Drosophila melanogaster: one gene and its partner. The protein of the gene in region 1 interacts with the protein of each later gene in a pairwise test. Each region holds a gene or a part of one and is shown in the gene's direction. Other genes may lie near its edges. The genes, in order: Idi and Naa30A.

The links.
Region 2: the proteins of Idi (region 1) and Naa30A interact in a two-hybrid assay, tested with the Drosophila melanogaster proteins (one large-scale study listed by BioGRID).

The regions. Positions count from the first base shown.
Region 1 is NT_033777.3:21,268,293-21,272,070, forward strand, and holds Idi (Isopentenyl-diphosphate delta isomerase), read left to right. Parts: upstream 1-1,833; 5' UTR 1,834-1,923; coding exon 1,924-2,238; intron 2,239-2,294; coding exon 2,295-2,750; 3' UTR 2,751-3,116; downstream 3,117-3,778. Other genes in the region: Rab1, read right to left, coding at 479-501; AP-2sigma (adaptor protein complex 2, sigma subunit), read right to left, coding at 1,117-1,392, 1,453-1,602, 1,659-1,661; CG3308 (uncharacterized protein), read right to left, coding at 3,663-3,778.
Region 2 is NC_004354.4:1,340,222-1,345,421, forward strand, and holds Naa30A (N(alpha)-acetyltransferase 30 A), read left to right. Parts: upstream 1-1,884; 5' UTR 1,885-2,270; coding exon 2,271-2,993; intron 2,994-3,068; coding exon 3,069-3,314; intron 3,315-3,557; coding exon 3,558-3,722; 3' UTR 3,723-4,549; downstream 4,550-5,200. Other genes in the region: MTPAP (mitochondrial poly(A) polymerase), read right to left, coding at 5,020-5,200.

The DNA.
Region 1 (3,778 bases):
TGGCCTTTGATTACGTAGCACTGCGCTGGGGGTGGGAAAGGCTCTCCACGCAGGTGACTCATCCGCCCGACTAGCGATTTGGCCCGTCAACTGGGATCTCGCTGTATATATGTGTGGACTTTATACATATGCAGATTCCGATGAGAGTTTCGAACGCGCTTTTCATCGCCTCGCCCGTGGGCACTACATTGAAATCCAGCTGAAACACACAGTTTTGGTTATGGTTTCTCGATTGGGTCGGTTGTTAGGTCCGAGTGTGTATTTTGTTTTTAGCAAATGGTCTGTTTTTTTGGAGTTGCCAACGAGGGCAAAAGGGAGTGGAGTGGGGCTGCTCGATAATGAATGGGAATGAAACGTAGCAGAAATGACGTCGCAGAAAAAATAAAAGAAACTATTTTCGAAGGCCAGAAAAGGAAGTGGAAGCCCAGTCACTGTTTTAACTCCAGATAACTGCGCATAATTACGTGTGACGACTTACTATTCCGGATTCACAGATGACATTTTCTGGCTTTTTCACAAGATTATATATTTGCCACGAACAAATATTCGATTTCTGGCCCTGGACTGGCTGCTGTTCAGAGTGTTTTTATTTGATTTGCGCGTTCCGAAATACTGGAAATCGACACGCACTCGGCTTGTGTTGTGTTTTGCAGTTCGCTATTGTAATTATTGCAGCGAATTTAAATGGGAAATACGTTTATTTCCACAAATTCGACGGCCGAGAACGAGAACAATGGCGACTGAAAAAATGACGAAGTGGCATTAGCGGCAGTGTTGGAAAATGCGCGGGGCCCTCTTCCAACCAGGGCTACACATTATCTTGTCTACGGAGGTGAGTGGGCGGAACCAGAGAAGAAAATATATGGATTATCGCCAAATGACCCCTAACACACCCCATATAAAAACAAAAATACTTAACTTTTGCATACAATCTCTTATGGTACATCATTTGTTTCTAAACACGGCCTTTAACATTTGAGTGTTTGCATAGAGAACACATTAAAGATAATAATAATAATACGCGTAATAGTATATGAAAGAAGATTCGATAGGCGGGTGTAGCGCCTGGGGGAATGCATCTGGCAGATCCGATATACATATGTATGAATTGGGCCGCTACTCCAGCGAATTTAGCGTGAGCAGCTGCTTGAGCACCTTCGTCTGCGAGGTCTCCCGGATCTCGCCCGCCAGGAACATCTCGTCCACCACACTGTACACCTTGTAGAAGTTGAAGACCAGATCCAGCTCGCACACATTATGGAAGTATTCGTTGAGCACCTCCACGAAGTTGTGAATGGCCTCCAGATAGCACAGGTTGTTGTCGTTTACGTCCACGCAGATGCAGAAGTACAGACCCGCATAGCGTCGGTAGACGATCTTGAAGTTGCGGAACTACAAAGGCAAAAGTGTGATAAAAGGGTGATTCAAAAGAACATATGGACTCGATCCCACCTCCACAAAGTTGGTGTGCTTGGCATCGCGCACTGTGACCACGGCATGCACCTCCTCAATCAGTTTCTGCTTCTCGTCGTCATCGAAGTTCATATACCACTTGGCCAGGCGAGTTTTTCCAGCTCGGTTTTGTATAAGTATGAATCGTATCTGGGCGAATGGAAGGTCAAATAGGGGTCTAAGCTTATAGCTGGCTAGTTGCTTACCATTTTTCGGGAAATTGGTTAAACCGTTTCCTGCTTATTTACAACTTTTTTTGTTTCGAGAATGGGGGCGAAAAACTGATTATGAGCAAATTGTGTATCACTGGGACCAGGGCTACCACTACTGTTCCGGAACAGCTGTTACCTCGTCAGTGTTGCAAACAGTTCGCGCAGAAAGCAAACGAGTTGGCAGACCCGCGCGCTGTATTACGAAGTTTCACTTTCATATTTGTTTTGGCCACCACTCCAAACTAGTCATTTACCAAAAATGTTGGCCTCTCGCTTGAATCTCCTGTTGCCCCGCGTATCCTGGCTGCGCGGTTGCTCAACGACAGCGGTGGGCCAGAAACATCAGCGCCAGGTGCCCACGGAGTTCGCCGTACACGATCCTCTGCAGGCTCACGCTCTAAAGGAACAGTGCATCCTGGTTGACGCCAACGACCAAGCCATTGGGGCCGCCTCTAAGGCAGACTGCCACCGTGTGCATCCAGAGACGAATGATGTTAAGCTCCATCGCGCCTTCAGTGTTTTTCTCTTCAATTCTCAGGGAGAGATGCTAGTGCAGAAGCGATCGTCTCACAAGGTGAAATTAAAGGGTAATCCCCTTATTACAAGGTCCATAATCCTCTGTATCCTTAGATAACCTTCCCAAACACCTACACCAACGCGTGCTGCAGCCATCCGCTTTACGAAATCGAACAGGAACGTCAGGAGCGCAACGCACAGGGCATCCGTGTGGCCGCTCAACGACGTCTCAACTACGAACTGGGCATTCCCACAGAGGAACTGCAGCCACAGGACTTTCGCTACCTGACCCGCATCCACTACGCAGACACGGGCGACGGCGTGTGGGGCGAGCACGAGATAGACTACATCCTGTTCCTGCAAAAAGACGTGACGCTGCGTCCAAATAGCAACGAGGTCAGTGAGGTGCGCTACTTGCGCCGCGATAAGATCGACGAGGCGGTGGCGAAGTTTAGTGCCCCGCTGACACCCTGGTTCTCTCTGATTCTGCAGCATCGATTGAAACTCTGGTGGGACAATTTGCACCAGCTGGAGCAATTTGAGGACTTGAGTAATATTCAGCGCTTTTAAGTGTGCTAACCAACCAAAAATACACGTAATGACGTCTAAAAGGGGCTTTTGTTCGTTTGGGTTTCAAATTCGCTTTATTCAAATGGAAAATAGTGTGTGTCTGTGTGCGGACAATGGGCACAAAGCGGATTTTATGCAACCTCCGCGGGTCGATCAGTTCAGTACAACGCTTTTGTATATGTAAATATAACAATACATATATAGTTTGTATAGGCGCACGATATTCAATATGTTTCATAGCCTAACTAATGTGTTTGTATGTTGAATATCAAATAACTAATTAGCTTTTAAAATGATCACATTACGTTTCCCATAATCATCATCATCATCGTCATCGTCGCAACAAGAATAAATATGTACAAAAGTACGACTACAGGCTAACAGAGACACAAACTAAAAGTATTGATTCTAGCCTAAATACAGAAGAAACAAACAAAAGACAAGCTGCAGCACTTAACATTAACATATATCGCTTCGGGAGCGAGTTCGAAGCGCGCGCTTCGAGGCGTGAAGTGCAGACCCCGGGCGAATCCGGAGTCGACGTTCACGAGGCACCACCTTGGCACCGTTTCTCTGGGTACTCGAGTAAATAAAGCAATTGCTCGGAAATTCCAACAACTTAAAGCTAGACCCTGCAAACTTCGATCGATGGTTTGCACCTTTACGGCAGGGGGTGAATATATAGTTATATACGTATACGTACTTTTCGCATGCAATGGGGGTCGTATTTGTGGATGTGTGTATGTGTGGGGATCAGGATAAGCGCTTCATCCTGAATTCGATTAGTGGTTAAGGCACATAGGTATGAGTCTATCGTGAATCTCAGGCTCGTTGAATCTATAGAGTTACGGGTTTAAAGCTGCTGGGTGGCACACTTTGTCGTTCAGTTCCATGTGGCTCCTTTACCATTTTCTAGGACAAGCCAAACAGTTTCAGGGCATTAAAGGCAGTGGCCAAAGCCACCTCGTCCGGGCTTTTCTTCATGAAGGCGGCTATCATCTCTACAATGGCGGGCAAACTGCACGGCT
Region 2 (5,200 bases), on another chromosome or scaffold:
CTATGTCCGTTGGCTGGGGAGCCGCCAGTTACCATGATCAACCGACACAAAAAATATAGTTTAAAACAAGAAGTCCATGCCATTGTGGCCAAACTGCATATATCATTTCGTCACGTGGGTGCTAAGTGCTAAATTGTATCTCTATCTTTTAGAGATCTCCGCCAGCAAGGTGATAAGGCGTTGGCTGCGGCACCTGTCCGCTCCCGCTCTCTCCCCTTTCTTCGTTACCCTTTCTCCGCCACTGCTTTTACTTTATTCGGCCATTCACTTTCTCCGTATGTTGTTTGCTTTGCTAATTTTGGATTTGCCCGCGTCACTGCAGCAACAGCGAAAAGTGAAACAGACGTCCAGAAAAACGGACGCCAACTTGCGCTTGCAAGTTCGTATGCAAAATTTCAAGAAATTATCCAATCGCGTGGCTCGGATTATTCAATTTCAGTCAATCAAATTCAAGTCCAATTCCGTATGCAAAGTAGGCTATGCTGGTCCGAAAGCAGATCGAAGATCGAGACCGCCTGGCCTCCCCAGCCGATTTCGTCACCAGCTAGTGCTGATGTAGTCCCAGTTCTGGGGGCAGCCAGCCCAACTGAGAGGCAACGACATCGGCCATGCCGAGTTCGTTCGTTACCCAAGTCTTTCGATTATGACGTTGGGAGGAGCTGGAGTCCCCATCAAAGCGACGGGCTATAACGCTAAAACAGTCGACTGATTGCCGTCGTTAAAAATCCACAAAATTGACAGCAAACGGCAGGCGGATTTCTCCTGGCAGTTACCACATACATATGTACATACATTGTAAAATCAGGGGTTATATTTTCATTTGACTCGAAACCTTTGCAAGTTCCGAATAATCCTGCGTTCTCAACCAAGACAAACGGCAAGGAAAGTGGAGGAAGTGCAGATCTCAGGAAACTGCGGATTAGTGACTTATGTGACTTATATGATTCGAGATTGTAATTTGGTTTTATTGCATTTGATTTAGCTGTAATTTATGGATTTTATTTTATGGCGAATGCTAATGGCGCGAAAAGGAAACCAAAAGTAGGCGAAGGTCGCACTGCAGAGTTATTAATTAGTACAACTGAATTTAACTAGTAACTTACCAATTGAAGAACGTTTTTAATAGTTTGGAAATCACAAAACAAAAGAGACAAAAAAATAAGCGCAGGAGAAAACACGCACGTACACACAAACACACACACGTATACTTTTAAATGGCGAGTGTAAGTGAACATACGTTTCGAGCAATTTATTGGACTTCCATCCGTTTTCGGGTAACATTTCGATGCTACTCATTGCCACGACATGCACTTAATTATAACTAACACTTCAAACTGATTTGCAGCACTTTTTTCAAACAAAAGTCCCGTAAATCAAAAATCTTTACGCCGTAAAATAGTTGCTTCTTCTTTAAGAAGAAAAGGAAGAACAAGAAGAGAACTTTGAAATGAGCAGCTTCTTCTTCTTATTATTGATCCTCTTTTCCGTTATGTACAGCACACCCTCGCAAAAAGGCACAAGCTGACGATCTAATTTGGCAAAAGTATTGCAAATACAAATAAGTTAACATTCCAAAGTCAGAAATTAAATGGCAGCTATAAAGAATATAGGTATGAGAATATTACGTTTAAAGATTGTAATAATATTACAAAGATCAAATCTAATCAAATATCAAATATATGAACATTTGCGATGTAAGGTGCATGCCAAATATAAATTTGATAAAATCAACGTAGTTTTAGATTTTATTTAATATAATTTTTAAATATTTTCATTAATCTTAGCTGTTAATTTAATAGTAATAATATCAATTGATAATTCGATAGCCGATAGTCACAGTTGGCCGGCGATGATTGTATCGATAGTATCGAGTGCCAATCGATTGCTGTTACAGCTGTTCGCGCATATGTGTGGGTGGGATTTATTCATAGCAAGGAAAATTACGAGTTTTGCGGATATAGGATTTTACATAAGTTTGCCATGCACACGCACTAGCGCCACAAATCGAGATCGGATTGATCGATCCGGAACTCCGAATATCGGAAGCACAACAAAGAGGACGGCCGACTGCCCCATGTGTGCGTGCGCGAGTGTGTGAGTATGTGCGTGAGCGTGTGCGTGTGCGTGTGAATGAAAAACCATCAACTGTGAAAATATAACCAAAAATAAGTCCGAGGCACACGGTTGCAGGCGAGGATTACCAGTCCTCCCAGATAAGCCCCGGAGGAGCAGCAGGTTCCCTCTTAGAGCCAATTCCGTCGCTTTTCAGAATGGCGGATGCCCAGGCAGCGGCGGCCGGAAAGAAGAAGTACAAGAACAAAAAGAACTCAGCGGAGAAGAACCCCAATCACAATCCAAATTCCAGTGGCCAGGTGGAGGCACAGACACCCAGCAATGGACACGTTCAGCACCAAGAGGAGGAGGCGACGGAAGACCAGGAGCCAGCGCAGGAACTCAGAGGCCTGCTTAAAAAGATGCACCTTTGCAATGGCCATGGTCACAAGGAGCAGGAGGCTCGGCCGCTTGGGGAGGTCGTCAATGGCCATGCACATGGGCACAGCAACAACAATCACATTCGCTGCACAAGCGGCAGCAGCAACAACAACAACAGCACTCACAACAACAACAGCGTGGACAGCAGCAACAACAACCGCAAGCAGCGAAGAGAAGGAGGCGACGGCGGAGGATCGGATTCGAACTCCCTCAAACCGGAGGAGAAGCCCATAACAGCCACAAGCAAAACCACTGCCAACATACACCCAACCACAACGACGGACCCAAAACCAAAAGTGTCGGAGGATGTAGCTGTGGAACAGGGAGTGCATGTGGCGACGGGGAGTGGCCACAGTCGGGAGCAGGAGAGGAAGCAACCGCCCTCCGACTATGCAGAGGGGGCCACGCCCACCATTACAGCACAGCTCCAACTGCCGGAACCTGCCATTTCAGCCGACGAGATCGTATATAAGGAATACGAGGCTGAACACCAAATGCATGTGAGTACCTCCAAGTATGACCAAGTGCGAACTGTGCGCAACACTTATCTAATTCCCCGCATATCGAACACGCAGGACATCATGCGACTGATCCAGGCGGAGCTGTCCGAGCCGTACTCGATATACACGTATCGCTACTTCATCTACAATTGGCCAAAACTCTGCTTCCTCGCCTCGCACGACAATCAGTACGTGGGCGCCATCGTGTGCAAGCTGGATATGCACATGAACGTGCGGCGCGGCTACATCGCCATGCTGGCCGTGCGCAAGGAGTATCGCAAGCTCAAAATCGGCACCACGCTGGTCACCAAGGCCATAGAGGTAGGATGTCTGGGGCATCTTTCCCTTGCAATAAGTTATAAATCGGGTTGCATGTAATCGATGCTCGATATGTGTGTTACGGAACAATTATGTGTTGTTAACTATGGATGAAATTGCCATCAAAGCTCACCAATGGCTCCTCGAGCCTCGAGGTATACTTTCGGGCACATTGGCGAGGGATACATACCAACTACCTCTCTTTCTGTGAAAACTTATATCACACTGCAATTTTCCCATTTGCAGGCAATGCTGGCCGACAATGCCGACGAGGTGGTGCTTGAGACGGAGATGCGTAACCAGCCGGCTTTGCGGCTCTACGAGAACTTGGGCTTCGTGCGAGATAAGCGGCTGTTCCGCTACTATCTTAACGGGGTGGACGCGCTGCGGCTGAAGCTCTGGTTTAGATGAGTGGACCCGGCGGCTGCCGTTGAAATTGTTGTCTAAGTAGCCGCCGAAGATGTCGAGATCTGCGCTCTGCGGAGGACCAGGGCGCTCCCCTCGTCCTGGGTCCTGGCCAGCTGGCAGCTTGTATCGGCGCCCTCTTTTTTGTACCTATTTAACTAGGAAGCATCGTAGCATCAGTTTATTTTCTCCCCAACTCACACCGTCCCTTGTCTCTCTTTCATTTGTAAATTATTTTATTATGTAGCAGCAGCAGTACGAGCAACATCTGCTACATATGCAGGAGCAGCACGAGCAGCACACAACGGACCCGAAATTTGGTTAATTTTACAGGAGGCAATTTTGTATGCAATACGTGATTTACATGCATAAAATTAAGCATTAAAGTCGTAAGCAAGCAATTAGTTATGTACATTAAACAATCTACAAAAACCAATCTAGGGAATAGACAACAACATGAAGCAGCAGCGCAGCACACGCTCATCGACGCCCATTTACAAAGCTATAAACATAGTATCAAATTTTGTAAAAAGATCAATCAAAGCGATGATCGCGCAAGTCGAACGATAAACTCGATCATGTATATCAAAATAAACGCAATTGGAACCAAGAGCTGAGAACAGACACACAAAAATGCAGCCTCATATGCATACTTGTATACAAACCTTCAATGGGTGGATGGCGGTGGTCCTCGCGGCTAAGAAAACTCGCCATCTGGTCTTAAGTAACCTCTCTGTGCTCTCCAGAAACACGTAACACGTAGCGATAAGGATAAAGATGTGGTGGATCCCGAGTAACATTGAAAGAACGCAATAAAATCTTCAACAAATGCGAAAATCCTGCCTTCTGTTCTTTAGTTTAGCACAACTTGGGGAATAGCGAGCTTGTTTGGAAGTTTGTGTGGTGTTTTCCAATTGAGAAACTATATGCCAGTACGGTATTTTCGTTTTATTATCATAAAAAACAGAATTATAACTACTCGAACTAGGAAAGTATGTCTTACGGATAACTACTCATCCACAAAGTCAAATAATGACTGCTTCCTTCGGCTCTTTTTGACGTGCCCCACCGATCTTTCCCTGCCCTGCCACACTTGGTCGCATTCGTCAACAACAATCGGTTTCAATACTCAAAGTCGGATCGATCATGGACTTATCCTAACTAGCAGGAGGTTTTAAAGTATGAACAACATTCAATTCAGCCAACGGCGGCTGCCCTAACCTTAAGCTGGACTCACCATGAATGTGAAGTTGTGGCTTATCCTAAGTATGTATGTACATGGGCGGTGTCAGTCTCGGAAACATCACCTGCTTCGCCGTCGATTATTGGGACTGCTCGTCGGAACTGAGCTGCCTGATCCGCGCAGCTGCTTTAGTTCGGAGCGCGTAGCAGCCTTGATGCTCTGCACCTGCTGCCGCACAGAGGCACTCTTGTAGGTTATGGCTGGTGTGGGAGGAGTTGAGCTGGACGTTGCTCCCGCCTCC